2 linked regions of the Tamandua tetradactyla genome follow. The main gene of each other region encodes a partner of the protein of the gene in region 2 in a complex. Links are inferred from orthologs where the notes say so. Each region holds a gene or a part of one and is shown on either strand. Other genes may lie near its edges.

Region 1 (12,144 bases), on a different chromosome or scaffold from region 2:
TGGATTCCTGCTTTAAGTTAAAATATTAGCTTTGTGCTTTTCTGTCAAAAATATGAAGGAAGTTCAGTAAATGGATTGTATATAAACGGTCTACGTCTGGGGAAAACCCAAACAGATGGTCTTTGAAATATTTGTTGCTTACACTTATAACAGGAATCCAAAGGATGAATAAAATATTTTCTAAATTTTTCAAAATTACCACATTAGAGTTTCCAAAAGGTTGTTCCAAGAATTTCGAAATTCCTGATACTTCCAAGGAATTTTTAAGACACCTTCAAAGTTCTCTGACCAAGTTACTTCACATCTATACTTTTTCTAAGGAAATATTCATAAATTGGACAAGGGCACAAAGATGTGATATTTACTACATCATAGTTTATAGTTGTGAAAAATCGAAAGAACCCTAAATATTCAAAAATAGGGGATTGACTATACAAATTATGGTACTTAATTCGATGAAAGACTATACAAGTATGTAGCTCTGTATTTATTTATGAGGAATTGTATTTATGATAAGGGAAAAAATGACAAATTATTTTTAAAACTCATAAGTAGTTCCCTCTAAGGGAAAACATGAAGGGAAAAAAGTCACCAAAATAGCTGCAGGATAAAACCCTCCTGGGGCCTCTTTTCTCTCTATTACTGAGAAGTGTTGGGGCAGGTCACTTAGCTATTGCCTTTCTTCTCCCCACCTCCTCTAGAAATTCAAAGCTGTGAAGAACTAACAAACAAACTGATGATCACTTATGGAAAATGATCACGGAAATGGGAAATGGATAGGATTTTCCACCCTCACTTGGTCAAGGTACGACTGTAAACTCTCTATAAGCGTACAGAAAATAACTTTTTTTTTCTTTAAGCTGTAGTATACATAAATACAATACATAGAATACAATACAAAATACAATAAAGTAAATAGTCTTACTTTATTTCTAAGGGAGTCTTCTGATAATTCCTGCATAGAAGTTTCCTCCAAGAATTACGTTAGGGACAAGTCTGCAAACCCCCAAGTTCCATCTTTCTTTGGCATGGAAAGAAGGAAGGTTAGAGAGCGGTCACAGCCTATATATAGGTGAGGATCATGATAAAAGGAACCTAGCAAGGATGCAATATTTATACGCATATTCAAGTGTAGGAAACACAATAGCAGCACAACAAAAATAAAAAATGTATTATAACATAAATAAACTATAAATTTACATTTATTCTTTTAAATCCATATTTAATTCAATTGATAGTTTATTAAATTATAATTAATTATAATTTTAATATGTCAAATTACATATAAACTCTAATTTATAACATAAATGAAAATACACATTTTCTCATTTATTTTTCACAACCGGGAGGAAGACATTACTGACTAAATTGACAGCTTAGAAAAGTTAACTTGCCCAAGAGAGTACTGTGAAGGCCACAGATAGGATTTCAACCCTGATCTGCTTGATTCTCAAGCTCTTAAAACATTACACTGAACAAGAAAGAGCCTGTGACAAATTTGCATCCTGGTGCATTTGTCCCTCTGTCCAAAGATCCCAGTCTAAAAATACTTCCTAAAATAAAAGTTTTCTCTTTCCATACCATGCACATGCATTCTCTCCTTTTCTCCTTTCTCTTGTTTGCAGGTTTGCAAGTAGGAAAACGTGCAGTAAGTAATGCCTTTGTATTCAAGTCATTTCTAATCTCGACAATCCTCAATGGTTCTCTTCCACTGTATCAGTTAAGATTGAGTCTGACTGTGTAACAGACAACCCCAAATAACACAAAGGTTTATTCTTTTGCTTGAGGTAAATTTGGAGGCAGGTATTCAGAGCAGGCATGGTGGCTCCGAAAAGTCATTGGGATCCCAGGCTCCTTCTATCTTTCTGCTTCATCCTTACTGCTTGGTTACCATCCTCAAGACCACCTCTGTGAGCTTAGATGGTTGTCGGAGGATCTAGTAGCAGGAAGAACAAAAGGAATATCCCCAGCTCTCTGTCCCTTCTTTCAGAGCTTTCTTGGAAGGCACAGGTAACACTTTAAATTATCTATCATTGACCAGAACAATCACACAGCCTAATTGCCATAGAAGCCAGGAAATGCAGTTCTTTTATTTAAGCAAATTGCTGCCCCCAAATTGACAGGCACTATTTTATTAAAGAAGAAGTGAATGGATATTAGGTAGGCAATTAGCATTCCCTGCCATAACTGCTTGTCAAATTAAGACAAATTTATGTTTGATATCAACAGACCCTAGCCTCTTCTTACCTAATTATTCTTATATCTGACTTTTCAGGTGCTTTTCCACATCTTTGCCTCTTCTCATTTTGTTTCCTCAACATGAAATATTTCGCTTTCCTCTCCTTTCTACCAACAGTTTCTTACTCACCCTTTAAGGGCCACTTGATATATACACTTCCTCCATGAAGTGTTCTGATATGTTTTATGAGATTTGCTCACTTTTTCTTTTGATTCCTTCCACTGGTGCTGACTTAAACTTCTTCACATAACATCGTCACTCTAAATCTTCAATGTCTCCTTATTTTCTGATAAAAAACTCTGAAAGTTACTCAGGTGGCAGGGTACCAAGAAATAGTAGTTCTTTTTGGGAAAAAATCATGAAATAGAAATGTTAAGTTAATTAATTGATTCCATCAACAAATGTTTATTGAGCTCCTATTATGTGCCAGGAACTATGCTAGGTTCTGGGCAGATGTTTGTTTGTTTGTTTATTTTAAAAGCTGCCAAAGAGAGCATAATAGCTTTTTTTTTTTAATGAAGATTTCACTTACTATTTTAAAAATACACTATTGTCTCCCAGTGTCTGTTTCTGGTTAAGAAATAGCAAAATTTAAAGACTTCAAGAAAACATATAGGTGAAAAGCCCTAAATGGAATTAATAATAGAAATTAACTTACTACTTTTTTTTCCTGTGAATTGGGAAAATGCTATCAGCATTTTATTTTAGCAATGAAATTTCTTGGTCCATATCATGGCACAGTAGTTGTGTGGGAGCCTAACTTCAGAACCACCACAGCGAGTCTAAACTCCAACCCATTGAATGTTCCCATGAATTTATATATTCCCAGAGATCCTCTTATGCATCTGCCTGCACTTTTCTCCCCTCATGTGTCTGCCTGCACTTCAAATACTAACTGTACACTGAAGATCTCAGAATATATAACTCCAGCAGCTGACTCTTCTCAGCTTCAGAACCAAATGATGTTTGGTTCTGTTTGATGAAGTTTTCAAAAAATGATGATATCTAATATTTGACAGAAAGAGGATACAGAACTTTCATAACAATTCACAGGAGTATAAATTGGTGTCACCTTTGAATGGCACATCTGCCAAAATTTATAGATATAATTAGCTATGCCCTAAATATATGACAAAATCAATGATATAAATTATGATATTTTTACTGAACTCAATTATAATGCATACCATTAAAGCCATGTTTTAGAACAATATATTATAATGCTATTGGAAAATGATCCTGAAATACGATTGAGTGAAGAAAGCAGATAACAAAGCTTCATGATACAATTTTTTAAGGAAAAACTTTCAATAAACAGAGAGCGACACTAGAAAGAAGTATAACCAACGATGATTATCAGGGGGAATTATTGGTGGCTTTTATCATTCTATTTCCTTAATTTTTTGTATTTTTCCAATCTTCTATAATGAGGATGCATAATTTTGTAATTTGAAAAATGTTTTTAAAAAAATCTAGTGTGGTTGCTATGGGAACCTTCCAGTAAATTAGATCTTAAAATGACATCTAGGATATTAGAAGGTAACAGGTTTAGTAGGTACAGTTTTTGAAAAACTAAAATGTCTATCCCAGAAAGATCTTTTGATTGAAAAGTTTGCAATCTAAGGAGCAATGGAAAGTAGAGATTGAGAAAAGAATTTCTCAATAAAGCGGCATGTAGTTAGAAGGGATATTGGGGTGATTTTTTTTTTTACTCCATCATTCCACTTTGCTAATTTTCCAAGTACCATAAAATTAGCAATATACTAAATTATATATATAAGTCATCCATACTATTTAAGGCTATTTTTTATGAATAAAATAGCTACAATTTAGTGAATGAGTAAAATGTTTCAGATCTATATAACCTTATGAGGCAGGTCCTTTAAACCAGTGAACCATTCTACACATTAAAGGTATTAGGTTTGGTTTCTGAAATCTATTCATAGTTTTGGCTCCTATGGACTGAGAATGAGAAGTTGGCTCTTACTTTTGCTTTGAAGATCGAGAAAGGTGAGCTGATGATGGGTGTGCTGGTTTGAATCTGTGGTGGACTCCAGAAAAGCCGTGTCCTTTAATCCTCATTCAATATTGCTAGGTGGGAGCTTTTTGATTATCCATGGAGATGTGACCCACCCCATTGTGGGTGGTAACTTTTGATTAGATGGTTTCCATGGAGATGTGTCTCCACCCATTCAAGGTGGGGTTGCTTGCTGAAGCTCTTTAAGAGGAAACAGTTTTGAAAAAACTTTAGAGCCCACGCAGCCAAAATCGTTTGGAGATGGAGAAGGAAAATGCCCCTGGGGGAGCTTCATGAAACAAGAAGCTGGGAGAGAAAGCTAGCAGACTTCATCACATGCTGTTCCAGCTAAGAGAGAAACCCTGAACTTCATTGGCCTTCTTGAACCAAGGTATCTTTCCCTGGATGCCTTAACTTGGACATTTTCATAGCCTTAGAACTGTAAACTAGCAACTTATTAAATTCCTCCTTTTAAAAGCCATTCCATTTTTGGTATATTGCATTCCGGCAGCTTGCAAATAAAACAATGGCCAAGAAAGAAGCAGATTATTTGCCATCTAATTAAAGACTGTTAGGCTGGATATTTCTCAGACATCAATGTGCATATATATCACACCGGTATAGTATTAAAATCCAGACTCTGGTTCAGCAGCTCCGTGGAAGGGCCCAATGTTGTACATTTCTAACAGACTCTCAGGTTATGATGCTAATGTTGCTGGTCTGTGGGCCACACTTTAAGCAGCAAGGTGCTGGAGGACCTCCTAGATAAGGGAGCCCAAACTTTCATTTCACATGGGAGGACATGAAGTGTGAAGGTAATGTGGGAATTACCTCCCACCCACTGGCCAGGAAGAACCTGCTAATCTGGAAAGAGATTCTTCCACTAATTCATCTTTCCATATACCCATGTCTCATCACTATTCCAGTCTGTCCAAAAGAAAAGAGTAATGGATTCAATGTTCAACTTATTTTTTTGGGTCAAGACGCTAATGGGGGACAGACTTGAGGGATCTGACTCTCAGAGGCTGAGTCATCTGGGAGCATCATCATTTCTCTCTGTGGTAAACATTGCCACAGTTTCAATCAGGCCATAAGATATTCTTTGGGATGAGAAAGAGGTTTGAAGTTTTTCATTCCGGAAGAATGGAAGGAAGGCCCAAAGTGGACAGCGAGCTTCCATCATTGCTGCATGGATGGTTACTGTGTGTTCCCTTCCAGGAGGTCCCCCAGAGCAGAACCTGAGTGGTAGGTCATGGATTTAGTTCCTGAGGAATTTTGGAGAAGACCCAACCAGCATATAAAGGGAGCTCCAGCCCCCAAGAAAAGAAAAGATGGCAAATTCAGCCCTGAAATCATGGAGCAGCAGCCCTAGGGTGGGGTTGATGGTGACTCTCAGCATCTTCCTCCAATAAGGCATTTCAACTGACTCCCACCCCTAATCCTACTATCACCACAGTTGGTCATTTCCAACGCCCTCTGCTAGTTACCAACTACTGGAGATGAGTAGGAGAACAAAATGCCTCTTTTTGGACCTCAGATTCTGCAGATTCCTGAGGATTAGGAAGGAGAACTCATAAAGTTCAGAAACATGGAGAAGGGATCGGGCATTCAAAAGGATGGAAGTGATGTAGTGACTATACAGATTTTTTTCCATTGCTGTATATTTAACCCAGGACAAATTTATATCTTGCACATTTGCCTATACAGTATGCTCAAGGAAGGTTTAATAAATAATTAATATGCACACACAATTTTTTTTTTTAATTTCAATGTCCAGATGCCAGAAGGCACCAACTTAGAAATAGGAAATAAAAATTTGTTGGATATAAAGTTGTCTCTGGTTTTCCACTACACAGACTGCTTTTTGTGCATTTAATTTACTTGAAGAAAAAAAAAAGCCAAGAACTCTCTTACACTAAGCAACATTTGGTAATTACACAGTCTTAGGGCCAAATTCTAATCCTAGCTCTGCCACTCACTAGCTGCATAAACTCTGAGTCAGTGTTCTCACCTATTCTGAGTCAGTGTTCTCACCTCTACATGGGGATAATAGTAGAGATGCTGGGAGGGTTAAATGAGATAATCCACGCAGAGCTATAAACTCCGGGACTAATACAGTAACTGCTTAATAAATATTATAAATCACAGAAACAGCAAGAACACCAATAAAACAAGTAATAGCTTTAACGATGGATATGTTCAGTGTCCCTAACACAAAACTCGAATGGGTTTGGAGGGCCGGAAGTAGAATAACTCTCAACAGTCGGTTCTTCAGTTAGAAAAGACAGGTTAAGTCTTCTCCTTCGGGAAATCCAGAAAATGTAAAACTACATTTCCCAGTAGGCTCAGGGGTCCACTAGCCGTGGTTTCTCACTTCCGGGTCTGTCATGTGACTCCCCGGCTGCACCATGGCGGAAGCAGAGGAGCAGGTAAAGGCTGCTAATGCTAGTTCATGGCGCAAGGGAGGAAGAGAGGATTGTGAGGTGGGCGGGGGGCTTGGAGGAACGTGAGGGGGTGCGGAGATGCTGGAGAGTGGCGAAAGTTCATTTCGGGGGTCGGAGCATTTTGGGGGAGAGTCCCTGGGGAAAGCACATCGACACATCCGCAGTGTTCCGGAGGCGGCCTTTCCGTGGCTGGGTTCACTGTGGCCTGTGCCCAGTGAAATTTTGGCATGAAGGGAGGCGGGGGCTCACCAGGACTTGACTACTTTGGGGGTGGGCTGCATGAGAGATGACTTGAGTTTTCAGGCTAGGTGACTGAAATTCAAGTTACTTTCCACTCTGAGCAGGGCAGTGAGGGCTGATAGGCGGGAGAACTAGGGGAGAGTACATGATGACTTTTGTATCTCTTGGATTTAGGTACAAAGCTGAGTAATTGTTGGTGCAGCAGTGTTAAAGGGCATCGGTTCTGGAGCAAAAAAAGTGTCTAGGCTCCAGTGCTGGTTCCCTTTCTTACTGAACATTTGACTTTAGGTTAGTTATTTAACTTTCAGCTATAAAATAGAGATTATAGTCCATCCTTAAAAGGTGGTTTTAAGATTCAATGAATGCATACAAGTAAAGTGCTTAGAATTGTTGGGCTTAATCAAAATTAGGAGAGATTATTTATTGCTGGCAGGATGCCATACAGCAATGTCCAGTTAACCTGAATTTGGGGGTTTAGGTGTTAGTGATAGGAATATGAATTATTTTCATATAGGCAATAGTGATAGCCACAGATCAGATGATGTGACCAAGCAAAATCAAGAAGAAAAGAAAAGCAGACCAAGAACCTGGGGAAGTACCTTCATTTTGCATTTCCAGACTCGTTTCAGTTTGGCACTGTTTTTCTTCACAAATTAACAGGTCCCTCAGTTGCTGTAATTACCTTTAAAAAAATGGTTGATGGTGAGTTGTTTAAATCACAGTAAGAGAAGGGTAGTACAATAATTTAACTTGTACTGTTTGCAACATACTTCATTTAAATAATGAAAATTTCTCCTGAATACATTTTATATATGCCAATAATTAAAACCTTTGACTTGATAGAAATTTCATTTGGTTGGCCATCTTGATAACGGAAGAGTCACCTACCTCTTACCCATAGTGGAACTTCTCATTTTCTTTTAAGGTACTTTAAAAGAAAATGCTCCTTAAGCACATATAATTTCATGACTCACTGATGTTAGTGGTGAGATTGGTTTCCACACTGTCCTCATTTTATGTTGAAATATAATTTTTTTGTGGTTTAATTTAAAAACAAACAAGCAAAAAGCCAAAACAACTTCTGTACATTCTTAGTTACAGTGTAATAGAAATGGAGTTACTCTTAGTATTTACTACTGTTTTGTTCTGAAGAAGAGTTTGGCACAGCTGGTGAAAAAGACACATAGAAAGTTACATATATGATTAAGATGCATCACATTTGTATAGCACTTTCCAATATAGAATCCTTTCACATTGTGTTTGGTCCTCACAAAGGGATCCTGTGAGATTAATACTCATCTGATATAAATCAGGTCAAGCACCGCCTGTGTTCCAGATTTTCCAATAGCATCCCATTTCTGAGGAAAAGTCCACAGCCCTTCTAAAATCCAGTTGTCCTACAGGACCTTGTCCCAACTCTCCTCAGCTTCCTTTCTTTGAACTCATTTCCCACTGTTCTCTCCTTTCTCTCTCACTCTGCATCAATGCCACTGGCTTACTTCCTCTTCCTTCAGCATGCAGAGCATGTTCCTACCTTAGGGCCATTGCTTATGCCAAATAATTACAGGACCCTCTCCCTCTTTCCCTTCTTGTCTTTATCCAAGTGTTACCTTTTTGAGTGAGCCCTGAGCATTATTTGAAAACTCTGTCACGCATTATGTTTCTCTGTAGCACCTATCACTATCTGACATTCTTTAAATAAAACAAATTTAATTAAATTTTAAAATATGTATTTGTTTATTTATAGCAAATAAAATTTAAACAAATAAATTGCCTTCCTATTAGAATGTAAGCTGTATGATGGCAAGGATTTGTTGACAGCATATGCCTAGTACCTAGAGTAGTGCCTGGCACTTTGTAAATGATGTATTGAATGATTGACTTTGACAGATAAGCAAACTAAAATTCAGAGAACTTAATCTTAGACTCACATCCATAATAATCTCCAGTTTTCTATCTGTAAAACTCATGAGTTTTTGTAGTATAACACCCTGCTTTTTTAAGAACACTTAAGAACCTAAATCAAAATCATTTTTTGAAATAAGTCCTTGTCACCTTAATAATTTCTCTTCATGTATTATTCCACCTCTGATCCTTTAATAGCCAGTATGTATTTTGGGTGGGCATTTGCCTCCCTAGCAATGTCAGTGTTATTTTCAAAAAGATCCGGAGTCTTGTCAACACCAGAAAAAAGCAAACATTCAAAAAATTACTGTTCTGTTCATTTTTTTAAAAAGAAAGCAAGTTAATAAATGCACCTATAAATAAAAATGGTTAGGTTTTGCTCAATCTCTTTGATTTGATTTCTTGCATTTCACTGTAAGAAAAATTAAAGGCTCACCAAAATAGGAAGCATTAATTATACAATTTTTTAAAGTCTAACAGAGCTTAAATGAATTTGCAAATTGTTCTGTTCTCCTTTCTTAAGCCTTTTAAAAATAATGACATAATTTTTTTTCCTGAATGTTTTAGGAATTGAGATGCATATTAAATTAGCCACCATGACAACTTATAAGTCAGGGCAAAGGAAGGTTTTATATTTACAGCACTGTGTACTCTAAATGCAAACAACCCTTCAAAATAAGTGTAATGCTAAGCAAGACTAAATTAAACCCTCTCTGCATTAACTTTCCTGAGCATTACATTCTTTGGTGATTGCCTGCCCCCCATCCTTAATTTTAGGAAGAACTGAAATAGTGAGATCTGCATGGTTAACATAAAACAGTTCAAAAATATTTAAATAAAATCACTTTCTGGATATGACTGGCATTTTTTTTTTGGTTATTGGGAAATCATTGCTTTTGCTGAGGATAGTAAAGGTATTTTGCAAAAATAAATATGTATATATTATATAGTTCACAGACAGAACTAATGTCCTGCATTCTGCCTGGGAATTTTGCAATCAGCCTTTTACCTGTCTATAAAATAATTTATGGTTGACCTTCATAATCACAGATCCCAATAGTATTTGTTCATACCTTTCATGAATGAACATTCTGCTTGAAGTTTGGTTGTTTGTATATTTGTCTTATATCTCCTACAGATTACTGAGTCTTTAAGAATAAGTACAAGAGCTGACTCATATCTATCTTTCACAGGGCTAATAATTTATATGTATTAGGTGCTTAATAAAATGTTTAAATTAATTTCAGGAGAATTTGTATTAAATTATTTTATCTTTCTTGAACTTTTTGAAAAGTTATTTATTCAAATGTAATATATATTAACAGTTGTTATTTTCCTTACTCCTACCATTTCCCTAGTTACTCTTCCATCTTTTCTACTCAACCAGTATGGAGTCAGGTTCATTAAAATATTTGAGCAGTCAAAATGCCTATCCATTCACCAAATACGAATTAGCAGATGGCACATTCATGAACACGTATATTCCTGTGTAATTGTGCAATAACAGTCACATTTTGAGTGCCTCAGTTTCCTTGTCTATAAATTGATAATTTTAATTTCCAGGACTCTTGGAAATATGGGATGAAATAAAGTAAGTCAGAGTGCCTAGGTTGAAGTGGTTGTTTTATACTCAGGACAACACTTTGTCATCCAGACTTGGGCTCGCCTTAGGTGTGCACAATACTCTTTTCTTTCAAGTTGGCCAAGACAAATTCTTTAAAAGCAGCTCTACTGATAACTAAAGGAAAAACAAAGCCCTAAACTGGAAGCTGCAAAGTCACAAGATGATACAAATTTTTAGAGAGTTCACTTTTCATTACCATGTAATGAAAATGTACTCACATGTTAAGATTAGCTGGGAGCTGTTTATTGCCTCACAGTCTCATTTTTCCTCTCATCCTCACCTGGATAATTTGGCTTGAAGACAGTGTTACTAGCTGATTAGTAGTCTCCCTGGCACCACATGTTACCACCTTGGAGATGGGGTGACACTCTGGTCCTATTTTATGTGTTTGTTGTCAAATACTTGTGATTCCAGGTCCTTATTTCAGGCTTGCTGAATCAGAATCTCTGAAAGTAGTGCTAAGGATTATATACTTTTAGCCAGTTTCCAAACTGAGTTTAGAAAATTCTGATGGAAAGTCAGATTTGAGAATTCCACTTCACTGGGACACTGTGTTTGTTCTCATTTCCACACTGGGGCAGACCCCAAGTTTTTTCTTCTTCTGCAGAATAAGGGTGAGTTAAGTAGCTGAGCCCAGTGGATGAGCTGGGTTGGTAACCTGAGTCTTTTCCTACTCTTACCAGCTCCCCAGGTACTCCTTCATCTTTCCTACTCTGCCAGCAGGGAGCATCGTAGGTCCAAAACTGGCTACAGCTCCCCTGAAGTAGGCTCTGAGAGGGCAAGGATATCAAATACATAGCATACAAAATATCTCTTCCCTTCTGTGCCCTTGTTAGACATTGGGATCTATCACAACTCTCATTTCCATTAAGCCCAGCAGTGGCACACAGTTTTATTGGGAAGGAGCAGAACCTGATGGTACAGTGTTGAGTGTTTCCAGTCTATCGCTTCCTCCACTCTTGTTTCCCCATGACGTGGTCTCTACTGTTTCTTCCTATGCACAGCCAGATCAACCCTCTAGCCAGGTTTGGAACTGGTCTTCCTTGGGCTCCTGTCTCCCATTTCTCCCTCCAGGTCTTCTTTTCTTTCCCAGAAAACATTTTGTGCATCCTCAAAATTCTGAGGAAGGTCCTCCTGGCTTCTGTCTCCTCCTGGGCTGGCAGTCTTCCCTTTAACCCCTACTGGTCTCTGAGGCCAGTTGTGCTGAGTCTCCCAGACTTCTTGTCATAGGGTCATGTGCTCATGGAAGGATTAGGAGTTGGAGTCAGTTGAAATACCTTCGCTGGGGGACTTTTTTGACATACCCCATCAGCCCCTTCCCATGGCTGCTGCTAGATTGGCAGTATTGTATGTGAATTGCTATATCCTTTTTTGCTACTATCTTCCTCTGGTGTTCCTTTTATAACTGCCCTGTAACCCTGAGCTAATAATTCAAGCATCTGTTTGTCTGGAGAAAAGGCACTTGCTCTGGCTTATAAATGGAAAGGGGATATACTGCAGTGGCACACTATTACTGATTTAGATCTGGTGCTTTTTTCTTAACGTCCTTACCTGCAAAGATGTGTTGAGTTTTTCCTCTGGATAGGATAGTGAGAGACAACAAGGCAAAAGCCTTTGGATTTATACATAGTGTATTTGAAATGATAAATATTAGGTCAAAGTGGTTAATAGTACC
Region 2 (12,134 bases):
TATAATGCAGCTGTGTGTGCACAATAGCGAAGAACAAGCCTGTAGAGTGGACACAGCATGGGATAAATAGTGCCTTCTTAGAGCCAATACTACATATGAGACTGTGGAACAATCCACACAAATGTGTAACACACACAGGGTCAGGCCTAGAAAATTCCTGGCAGCCTAATCTGGAACAGAAGGTTGGATTTGATCCCTCCTGGGAAGTAAGGCTGGACCTTCCTATTCATAATTAACCTATTGAAGCTTCAACTAACAATGCAACATGGTTGAACCTCGTGTAATAATTCCATTCCTGGCTCAACATTAGCCACTGCAGGGAATGCAGAGATGAATAAGGCCCTCTCTTCTTTGGTCATATGGCAAAAAAAACAGTGATTGTCAAAGCATGAGCCCATTATCAGCTGCATCAGAATTACTGGGTCTTGTGAAAAATGCATGTTCCTCACTTAGGGGATTATATAAGATTCTACAAAGGCTCCATGCATTAGGGTAACTTTCCAGAAACCTAAAACCTCCAGATGGGTCCCTGGACAAGAAAAATCCTGAAACCTACAGAGGCCAGTCTCTTCTGAACATAAACTAGTTCTATCTCCCGACCCCATAATATTATCAGCCCCTTCCAACATGAAAAACTTAGAATGGGCATAGCCCAAATACCCCTAAAGAGCTGGAGAAAGATCAAAGGTGATGGTAGAGTTATATAGAGAAGGTAGGGTTTAACAAACAAGTATGACTGTTGTATCATTACACTGGTATGTCTTTTAGTCTCCAGTATCTCAGAGCAGCTAGAAGTAAAAACTTAAAATTGTGGAATTATAGCCCATACCAAACTCAGAAATCTGTTCCATGACTAATTGTTGCGATGTGCTTGGAAATTTATTGCTTTTTTGTATATACATTATTTTTCACAAAAAAGAAAAAAAAGTCTATGGTGATGATTAAAAAAAGTATTTATTCCTTCTTTCCTCCAATGTTCTGGAGCAGTTAGAAGGAAAAATCTGAGATGATGGTATGATAGCCCATGAAAAACTCTAGGATCTATCCTGTAACTACTTGTTGAAGAGTGCTTTGAAAACTACTGTTTTTTTGCTTTGTATATACTCTGTTATATTATACAATAAAAAAAAGCTTAAAAAAACTGCATGTTCCTGTGCACTGTTCCCAGAGATTGTGATTCCATGACTCCAGAGTGGTACCCTGAAATCGGCATTTTTAAGCTTAATTTTTATGTTTTTCAGTTATATGAAACATTTATGTAGTTCTAAAACTAAAACTATGAGAAATCTAGGTTCTATCCTTGTCCATTCCACCCTGTTCCCGCTTTTCTGCTACAGGTAGCCTTTTAGTAATTTTTGGTTTATTCTTCCATTGGTTTATCTATTTGGCTCATCCCTCCACTGTTTCTTTTGAAAACTTAAGTATTAATATCACATGCACACAATATGCATATATACAGACACGCAGAAAAAAAAAAAACCCTGCGTTTTTTACAGGCTCTGATGTACATAAAGAATTGGGAAACAAACTCTAGAACTAAGACATGATTTACTGGCTATGTGATCTTGGAAAAATTAAATTCTCTAAGCCTCAGGCTTTTCCTCTGTAAAATGGAGTTACTTTTATTACATAAATGCCCTTAGAAAAAGAGCTAACAATACAGATCAGTACTCAATAAATGGAAGCTATTAATACTAATATCATTTTCATTCATTAATTAAACAAATATTTAATGACTATTCATTATGAGTGAGGAACTGTTCCAGGCCCTGAGGATACAATAATGTATAAAACAAAGTTCCTGCTTTTAAGGAAATTTATTCTAACGTGAAGTGGCAGTTAGATTCAGTTGTCAACTTGGCCAGGTGAAGGCACCTAGTTCTGTTGCTGCAGACATGAGTCAATGGTTCGTGAACCTCATTTGTTGCTAATTACATCTGCAGTCAGCTAGGAGGCGTGCCTGCTGCAATGAATGACGTTTGATTTAATTGGCTGGTGCTTAAATGAGAGAGCGCAAGGTAGCACAGCCCAAGCAGCTCAGCATACCTCATCTCAGCACTTGCAGCTCAGCCCAGGCCTTTGGAGATGCAGAAAGGAATCACCCTGTAGAAAGTTGTTGGAACCCAGGGGCCTGGAGAGAAGGCCAGCAGAGATTACCCCGAGCCGTCCCACGTAAGAAAGAACCTCAGATGAAAGTTAGCTGCCTTTCCTCTGAAGAATTAACAAAATAAATCCCCTTTTATTAAAAGCCAATCCATCTCTGGTGTGTTGTATTCTGGCAGCTAGCAAACTAGAACACGTGGAGTGAGGGAGATAATAATTAAATATATGAAATAAAATTAGGTGGTGATCCATGAATAAGAGGAAAAGGCCGAGGAAGGGAATTGAGCATTGGCAGATGTGTCATTCTCTTTTATATAGGACAGTTAGGGAAGGTCCCACTGATTTAGGTAACATTTCAGCAGACACCTGCATGAAGTGAGGGATGAACCACAAGAGGAAGAGAGTGCCAGGCAGAGGAAAGAGCAAGTGCAAAGGCTCTGAGGTAGCTCTGTACTTTGTGTATTCATGAAACAGCAAGGAAAACTGTGTGTCTTGAACTAGGAACAAGGAGTAAGAGTAAATTCAGGGAGGCCAGATCATGCCAGGCGTTGTCAGCTGTAATAAGGACTTAGGAATGTATTCTAGTTGTAGTATGAAGTCCCTTGACCGTTTCGAGCAGAGGAAAGATGTGATCAGATGTAAGGTTCAAAGGATGACTCTATCCCTGGGTGGATAAAAAACTGAAAATAGCCCAAAGGTAAATACAGGGTGATCAGTTGGAAGACTACTCAACACAGGAGATCAGTAACTCAAGGAAGAGATGATGGTGCTTTTGTCAAGAACAGTAATAGTGGATATGGAAGGAAGTGTGGTTTTTTTGGTCTGAGCCAATTAGGTAAACAGAAATGCCATTTGCTGAAATGTGGAATACTGGAGAAGAAGCAGGTTTGGGGGAAGAAGAGTAAAGAATTTCATTTTAGACATGTTATTAGACATCCAAATGAAGATGCTGAAAAGGCAGGTGGTTATAAACAAGTCTGGATTCAGTGTCCTTATTTCCATTTCCCAGGAGATGGCTTATGCATCTCTAAGAAGTCTTTGAGCTCAAATATTGTCTGGCCCTCCATATTCTGGTTCCTGGATGAACTTTTCATCTAAGGGCACAGAATAGGTAACAGGGGTGATGATTAGAAATAGCAATGTTTATTACTGCTAAAGTCTAAAAATAAAGCAGTTCAGAGGTAGGAGACAGTAAATGGCCTTTTGTAGCCCAACACCTACCATAGCACCCTAGGAGGCAAAGGGCATTTCTCCTGTTTCTTGGGAGATCATTGAAGGACAAAAGCTACAGGCCATTTCAAAACTGTGTTCCTGAAATCTTTACTGTGATGTAGTAGAGTTGATAAGGGAGGCTATGAGATATCTGCAATGATGGTCCCATAGAATATCAGTGTGAAGGTACTGAGTAGAGCAGCAATTTTAGGAGAGAATTTCCTATATACACATCAGGATTTTGATAAGTCAAGTCAAATGTACTAAGTAACTCTACCATTCCTTTTCAGAAGCATATGTCCTAAACTGAGTTGGGTGCCCCTCCTCCATGCTACCATAACAGGCTACACATATCTCTAGTATTGTCTATCATCTATTATAATCTGTTCATGTGTCTGTGCCCCCCACTGTTTATTCCAGGAGCACAGTTATTGTTTCCTATTCATCCTTGTATTGCTGTCCTAGCAGAAATGGGCTCACACAGGCACCAAATACATATATGATGAGGGAATGGAAGACTAAATCCCTTTCTGCAATGCCAGGTTTTTCATTTTATTTTATTTCTCTTTTTCTTCTCTATTTCTATTTTTTACTGAGAACATTTAATGACATGAAACAGAGGTTTTCTTGAAATGCCTGGAGAAAGCAGGATTCTCTTCTTAATCCAAAAGACTAGGACAGCTTACTGTAAAGACCTGATTTTAAAGAGGCCCAAGGCTGCTAAAGATGGGAGAGGCAATATTAACATGAAGATTTGTGGGGGGAAAAGCTTACTGAAGAGAATCAAGAGCTCTGCAAGAAATGACTAGGTGGCACTGTCAAGAGATGATGCTGAGGGATGCCAGTCACCATCTAGATTCCACCAGGACTATTGTGGGTTCCTAACTCAGTATAAAATCCCATGAAGGATTCTGAGTTTCCCATTTAAGGTCCTTCACTTCTAGGATTTTGGACACTGACAAGAAAGATTAAAATGATTTCTGCTTGGTCTCTGATGGGTGTTAACAGACACAACCATTCATAAATAAGAACACAGTAAGAGCACAGTGTTCATAATTAAGAATCAAGCACACAAGAGATACCTGATTCTGCTTTCTGCACGGCTAATCCAAAAAAAATTATGCAAGTTTTTATTGGCAGGGTCTCATGGCAGTACAAAATGATGTTCTACCTACAGAGTTAGGGAACTTGGGCATTCTGGATATAAAGCAAACAATACTTGCTTAGAGTAAGACTTCAACAATAACAATGTTAGTTATCCAAAGGAATGTGAAGTGAACGATGACCTATCATTAAGGGAGGGAGGCGGTGGAAGTATATGATATAGGAATTTGAATGGTGACCAAAACAACAAAAAGTGTCGTCTTTCACCTAGAAATAAATGGATAAGTTCAGGCCCTTGACAGGCTGAGAACTTCCCACCGCATTATTCCTCCAAACTGAAAACTTCTTGGAAATCGAACTGGGCCAAAACTGAGCACCATTTACAGGGAAAGCTCAACCTCCACTCTGAAAGGGCAGGTGGAACTTCTCTAAAATGTCTGAGTCCCTGGGGATCTCCCAAGCGGTCCCACCGCCCTCGCTGTCTACAGCCCACAGGGCTATCACATCTCCGCCCTTCCTCATCCCGGGCCCCCCTTGGAGAGCGTCCGAGCGGAGCCCACAGGGCCAGACGCCTGACCACTTCCCCAGCGACACGGAAGGTAAGGGCCACTCCCGCGTGACCCCACTCTGCGCCGCGGCCCTTCGGCTCACCCCAGGCAGCCAGACAGTCGATCTGCAGAGGCAGCTTTTCTAGGATAGGAACTGGCTCGAAGGCGTCATGCATGGCGACGGGAGAGTCGGCGCCGCAGCCGCCTCACCCCGAGGGGGTCGGGCCAGGCCAGGGGCGGGCACCTCGCCCGGAGAGCTTAGACCAGAATCCGGCCAGGTACCCCAACTAAAGGCCCTTCAGCAACAGAGCCAGCATCAACTCCGGACTTCCTGCTGGATTAAGCCCGCCCTTTCCGCCTTGAAATCCCTCCTCTTCCGCCCTGGCTCCAATCTACCCTCAAAAAAGTGCCCGGGCCGGGTTTCTTTTTCCTGCTAGCTCAGAGCTTTTTCCTCGTAGGTCTTATTAGCCATAGGCTTAACAAGAAGGGACAGTAATCTTAATGTCGTAACTGTCTTAGGCATTGTAGCTTGGGCTTTGGCGTCAGCCACCCCTGGGATGGAGATGTGCCATTTCGGAAATTAGATGTCTTTTAGGAAATTGATCTCTCAAGTCTTTTTTCCTTATCTGCAAAATGAAGGTAATGTTACGCACCTTCGATTTGTTGTAAGCGCTTGGCAACTCTTGAGACTCTAAGCATTCAATAAATGGTGTATTAACCATTCCCAAATAATTTACCTTACCACTGTATTTTGAACGTTGTCCTAAGCCAGTGGTTCTCAAAGTGCGGTCTCTGGACCAGCATCACCTGGAAACTTGCCAGAAATTCAGTCTCAGGACTCATTCTAGCCCTATTATAACATAATCTTTGGGAATCCAGCAATCCGTGTTTTAATAAACCCCTAAGGTAAGTGCACACCCTCTCAATCTTGGGAACTACTGTTCTAGGCCAGGGTTTCTCAAATGCAGCACAAGTGACATTTAAGGCATAATTAGGTTGTGAGGGACTGTTCTATGCATTGTAGGACCATTAGCAGCAACTTCAGCCTTTACCTACTAGATGCCAACAACATCCTCGCCCCAGTTACAATAAAACATTTTCAGACACTGTCAGATATTCCGGGAGGGGGGGGGGGGGCGGAATCACTCCAGCTGAGAGCCACTGTTTTAAGCCAATACTTCTTAATGTGCATAGGCCTGGAGATCTTGTTAAAATGTAGATTCTGATTCAGTAAGCCCAGGGTAAGCCCTCACTGGTAATTTCTTACAAGCTCCCAAGTGTTTTTGATGCTATAGGTCTTTGGACCACATTTTGAGTAACAAGAATTGATTCAGTAACCCTTCGGAGTCAGCAAAATAAATGGCTTTTAAAATTGCTCTTCTCATTCTCACCAATTTGACTCTCTCAAGCTTTGTTTTACATCTTGATATTCCTTTTAGGGAGGTAAGAGACATAGCTCTTTCCTCCTATTGGTCCTGTGCAGTATGAGGTATTCCCTCTGGAGACTTAAGTACAAGAACAACAATAAAACTAAGTTTGAACTTGCCTTCCATGCGGGACACCCGGGTTCAATTACTAGACCATGTACCCCACCAAAAAAAAACTAAGTTTGAGCTGCAAGAATAATCTGTAACTGGCAATTTCCCCTGAAGAAAAGATCAGGTACATTACAAAATTAAGCATTTTGGTTTGAAGCAAAAATGTAAAAGAAAAAAAGGTTGTAGTCTATGATATAAAGTCAGAAAACTGGTACTGGTGCACTTTATTTGTATACAATGTCAGTTTTTCATCTGTACATAAGGAATACCTATCCCATCATTACCAAATGCTGTTTGTGAGAATCAAAATATTTTCAAGTTGTGAGAAATGTAGAGAATGCTAAACAAATCTTATGTTATGGCTGATTTTCATCATAGGTAACTGCCTTCTTGAAAATTTAGAATTACTAGCTACGATGCTGGAAGAAAGCCTAACACCTTTTAGTTCCAGGCCCAAAGGCCAAGACCTATGTAAACAATATAACCTCAAAGGTAACAGGTCATTGGGGGACTGTAAATTCTTTTGAACCTGTCCTAAGAAGTGATATGCCATATCCAATCCCAGTAACATAGTAAGCCCTGAGAAAAAGCTATAGAATTTGTACTGTTCAATCCTATTTGACAGAATAGATTTTTGCCTCAAGTAAACATCTACCAGCCTCAAAAAATATTTGAACCAACTCTCAGCTGCATTATAACTATTATTCACCTGCTAAGTTTGAATCTGCAAGAGCAGAAGAATACATGACAGTAACACCAGCCTTTTTCTAATAAGTTAGCATGAAAATATAATCAGCTCTTCAGACTGTCTGTTCCTTAAAGGTATAACCTAGGTGATTTTTTTTTAAATCACTTTAGTAGAGAGTTATAGAGAAATACTACATAAATATTAACACTTTCACTATAGTATGTGTTAGGGCATTAGTTAATGTGGTTGGTCATTGGATTCTATTGAAATTAGGACTACCTAGAATAAAAGTCACGGAAGGAAAATTTCCTCAAGAAGGAAACTGGGAGAAAGAAGGATCTTCAGAGAATACTGTGAAAAAAATGAGAAAAATATATTCATTTTGTTAAAATTCTTTATATTAAAAAGTGGCATGAACTTTTTATGTAGAACAAAAATCTTGGGAAGGCAAAACTGGATAAAACCATTAAAACAGAAATATAATGTTTCAAATGAATCCCATCACCTTGTGATGCCTCTTATAAACAGTTTCGAAACCAACACCAGATATAAGGACTATCAATCCTAAAGAATGAGCAGCAGTCCAGGGCCTCCTCATGCAGGGATAATTGCTTAAATGAAGCCAGAAGGACCTGTTACCTTTGTAGTTAGTTCCCACTTGTAAAGCAATACAGTCCCTCTAGCAGGGTGTTCACTCACAAGCACTTAGATGGGAGCACCTCTCTGGACCTACAATGAATGGCATTGCCTGTGCCGCCAGAGTGCCACCCTGGAGGCTTACAAAACAGTAGTTAAAAGTCCTGGAGTGTGTACCTGCACCACATTGCCAGCAATGGGATGTGTCACAATAGCAGATGTCAAAAGAGTTAAGCTAATATTTCTCTCTAAATTACATCTGAAATAGAAAAATCTTCAATATACACCATTTGTAAACAAAATTGCACTTGATTTTGTTGTTTAGACAATCTGAATCACACTGTAACAGTTTCTCTCTCCCTCTTTTTTCTTTTAATCATTGATAGAAACAGGGCTCTTTAACTCAGAAGGGCCCTTTATTCTTAAAACCACCGCTGCCAGTTGTAAACCCTGACTCTACAGGAAACTGAAAAGGCAATTATCAATTTCCCCCATCACCTACTAAAGTCCCTAAATAAATAAAAATCACTGGCAATTGCTCCTGAAGACTGCATTATGGTTTTGATGTCATCGTCCTTTAGAAGATGTTAAATTTTTAGTTTGACAGATTAAACAACTGAAACATTATAGAAGATTCAGGAACAATACACATAAATTTGCATAAACATCCACGTTCAGTGTGTGGGAGGGAAAGGGGCATCAACATTGTAAATAAGAAACTTGTAGGTTTTTCTCATCCTATGAACTTCTTTTCAACAAGATGTTCTCCTTGTTCTGACATCTCTTGCCAGTTCTAATGCAAAACGATCAAGGAACAGATCAGGATGTCATTGCCTCCTTTAACTCCATGGAACAGTGGTAGAAACCTGACACAGAAGCTGATCTCTTCCCTAATAATGAGCCATCTTCAACTGCAAATACCCCCAGTCTTTACTCCATTTTGGACCTTTCAAAGTGTGTAATCATTCGTTCCTAGGAAAAAAAAAAAAAAGGTTAATTCTAAGTATATTAATTAACAGCTGTTTACATTTCAAGTATCTTCTATACATACCATGACACACACATTTCCCACAAATACTTATTTATGTTACTTAAATATTCATTACAAAGGTTCCTAACCATACTTGAAGATTTTGAAACAACAAATGACCAAACCATACACAAGATCAACTGAATCAAAATCTTTGGGCCTCTGGACGTCAAGCCACAAATGAAAAGGAACTGTCAGACCAGGATAATGTGACATATATTTATTTAAGATTGAGCTTTTATAAAACTGTACCTCTTCTGACTGAAGAATTTAAACTTTAGCCACAAGTATGTCCACTACAACAGTCAGCAATATAGAAAAAAATATAAGAACTAAACGTCCAAAAATATAGGACTGTATAAACACATTATGGTATATCTGTACAATGAAATATTATATACTCATTGAAATTAAATTTGATTATAAAATAGTATTTACAGTATCTCATTTCCATTAACAAAAATTATATGTACTACTATTTCCTTTCCTGTCCTATTTTTTTATATATATTTTTCATTTTCCCTTGAACTAAGTACTTATCACAAATTTATCCCAAAATCCAGATGAAATGTAAATCCCTTTTTAATATGATCAATCATATCAAGTATCATATAAAGTATCCTGTTCACTTTTTTCTTAAAAATACCCTTTCTGAAACTCTCTTCTGCTCTATTCTAGACTGGTCAGTCTTAAAAACTGTTGCACAACTGTCACCCTTGAACTTTCTTATATCACCACCATGAAAATTATCCCTGCCTCTGTTTTATGTTGGATCCTTTATTTCCTAGATTTCAAGCCTTCTTGCTTAGTTGATTTCCTCAGTTTTATAGAGAACGTTTTCCACCATTTTCTTCAGAAAGCACATGTAAGATATCATTTTTTAATTTTTTTCCCATCTGAAAGCATCTTTATTTTACCCTCATGGTAAAATAGTTACTAGGTTGAAAATAATTTTCCTCAGAATTCAAAGACATTGTTCTATTATTTTCTGATTTCCAAAGTGATTTTTGAAGAACGTAATGATGTTTTCACTCTTTCATGTAACTTGATTCTCTTGTAATTTATTTAAATTCTTTTTCAGTTTTAAAAAAGAAAGACCTTCCTATTTATTGGGTATTCGTGCAAAGTCTTGCATAGCTTGTTCACACAGGAAAATATGAAGAGATGCGTAAAGTCACCTCTGAAAGTACTATAGTAAACCTGTATTCCCAGGAATGGCATAATTTGGTTTCACGAAGTCAGACCTCTCTGGGTAAAATATAGAGCTAAAGCCATAAGGAAGCACTGAAAATAAACGATTAGCAGAGGAAAGCCCCAAAAGGAAATACTACAGATATAACATGCAAGATGCTCTGAGAACTACACACCACAGAAAGCAAGATGTTATATTGGTAGGTTTAAATCTGAATGACAGGGTTTAAAATTATTTCAATACATACAACAGTGAAGGAATGTGACACTGTTTTCTGCATCACATAACAGGTCAGTAGGAAATGCACAAACCATTTTAACAGCAACCAGTCCTAACACCTTGAGTATGAATCAGGCAAGATGCTTCCAACTGGCTTTCTAAAATCAAAAGGTTTTGAAATGAGCTAGTATTCAGATTCTGTCTAGAACAAGTTCCCATGAACCCAGACTACAATTCTACATAAGACTTCATTTGAAGCTGTCTAGATGAATCGTGTGGAGGTATATTAAAAGTTAACAACATCAGTGGTATCAACTATAATTCTAAAAACCTGAAGAGAACAGTGACATAATTTAATTACTAACCTCATCTGAATCCAGAAGGGCTGGAAGTGCTCTGCAGAGAGAAAAAACACCAAACTGGACAATGTAAAATAGAGTCATAAATGGTTCATAAAGGACAGCAGAATAATGAATGCCACGTGATACTTTTTTGTAATTACCTAAGATTTATATCTTATTAATGGCCCCTTCAGGAGAGAAATAAAAATAACACAAATATAAGAAAACAAACAAACAAAAAACCCCACATATATATCCTACATTCTAATAGGGCCAATATTTCATGAAAATTATAGTCCTGGGAAGGAATTCAAAAATTGTATTCCCACTGATCTCAATAGCTAAATCTTTCTAAGAAGAATTATCCTCTGAACAAATAATTCCATATACTTTGGTCTATATATCATTACTAATCTTTTAATTATTTATTTCTTTTAATTATAAGCATTCTCATTCCTATGTTTCTCAGCCAATGTATGTATAACAATAAAACGAGTACTAACTATAAAACAAGATTCTTGTGGTAATGATTCAAAAACTTACACATCTGTCACAGAAGAAGGAACATTCTCTTCTACCCACTTCAAATCATCTTCCTGCTGGGAACATACAGGTACCAGTTGTTAGTAAACTGCACTAAATAATAACTCTCAAGTAAGGATTTAAAGAGATCTTAACATTTTTAAATTTAATCTTTTGCTATTCTGTGTAGTACATTCACGTAACAACTGGGACTGCTAACAGAAAAGTCAAATAATTTAATTTTAAAAACCATATAATAGAAATATAAAATGATGCTCTGCATAATTAAATGTTCTTTTCTCAATGGCCTAACCCTGGGAGTTTGCTTCAGGCAGGCTTTGTTCTTTAAAACCGAGATAAATTTGAAAGCCCTTACTGTAGAGTGGATGCATAGTTCTAAAACAAATGCTGACTGAAAAAAATCCTTGGGCCTTGTTAATGAAACTATGACTTCATTAATGAAGACTGACAAAAAAGAACCATCAGATTGGTCTGGTATTTTTTCAATATATAGCAACAAACCATCTAATTAAAGACAACTAGGCCTCAGAATCACTTGTGCCTGTTCTAAAAAATGTTAAGGGAACATCTATCAAAAATATTTCTAAACAAGCATAATCATAAATGTATACAAAAATCCTTAAGGCCCATGCAACAGAACTAATGAGCTTCACTAAAGGCTGGGGGACAGAGCAAAGACAAAGGAGGAATATAAGTCATAGTTACTGCTTTGTTCATTTTACTGTTTCCATTTGGTTCTTGTTTGGTACTTCTCATTTTCATTCCTTCTGTGGAAGAAAAAAAGTAGACAGGTTAAAATTATGTTAACAGACTAGCAAAAACGAATTTAGAACTTTATTTTTAGGCTTATTGACTGATTAAATGATAAATGTTTCTTTATCTTTACATTTATACTGTGAAGTTCAAAGCTAAATTTTTAGCTTATCTCCAGCAAGTAAACTCTACTTTTAATGTGTATTTATTTACTGAATTTACCCTGG

Evidence for each region.
Region 1: VPS39 (region 2) and VPS41 share a complex: the UniProt entries of both Homo sapiens proteins name them as parts of the homotypic fusion and vacuole protein sorting (HOPS) complex. The link is inferred for Tamandua tetradactyla from reciprocal best matches to the Homo sapiens genes VPS39 and VPS41.

The regions. Positions count from the first base shown.
Region 1 is NC_135327.1:83,173,259-83,185,402, forward strand, and holds the start of VPS41 (vacuolar protein sorting-associated protein 41 homolog), read left to right. Parts: upstream 1-6,638; 5' UTR 6,639-6,664; coding exon 6,665-6,685; intron 6,686-12,144. UniProt on the Homo sapiens protein: Plays a role in vesicle-mediated protein trafficking to lysosomal compartments including the endocytic membrane transport and autophagic pathways. Acts as a component of the HOPS endosomal tethering complex.
Region 2 is NC_135340.1:55,955,945-55,968,078, forward strand, and holds the start of VPS39 (vam6/Vps39-like protein), read right to left. Parts: upstream 5,334-12,134; 5' UTR 5,144-5,333; coding exon 5,071-5,143; intron 1-5,070. Other genes in the region: TMEM87A (transmembrane protein 87A), read right to left, coding at 8,760-8,801, 10,636-10,666, 11,155-11,210, 11,860-11,921. UniProt on the Homo sapiens protein: Regulator of TGF-beta/activin signaling, inhibiting SMAD3- and activating SMAD2-dependent transcription.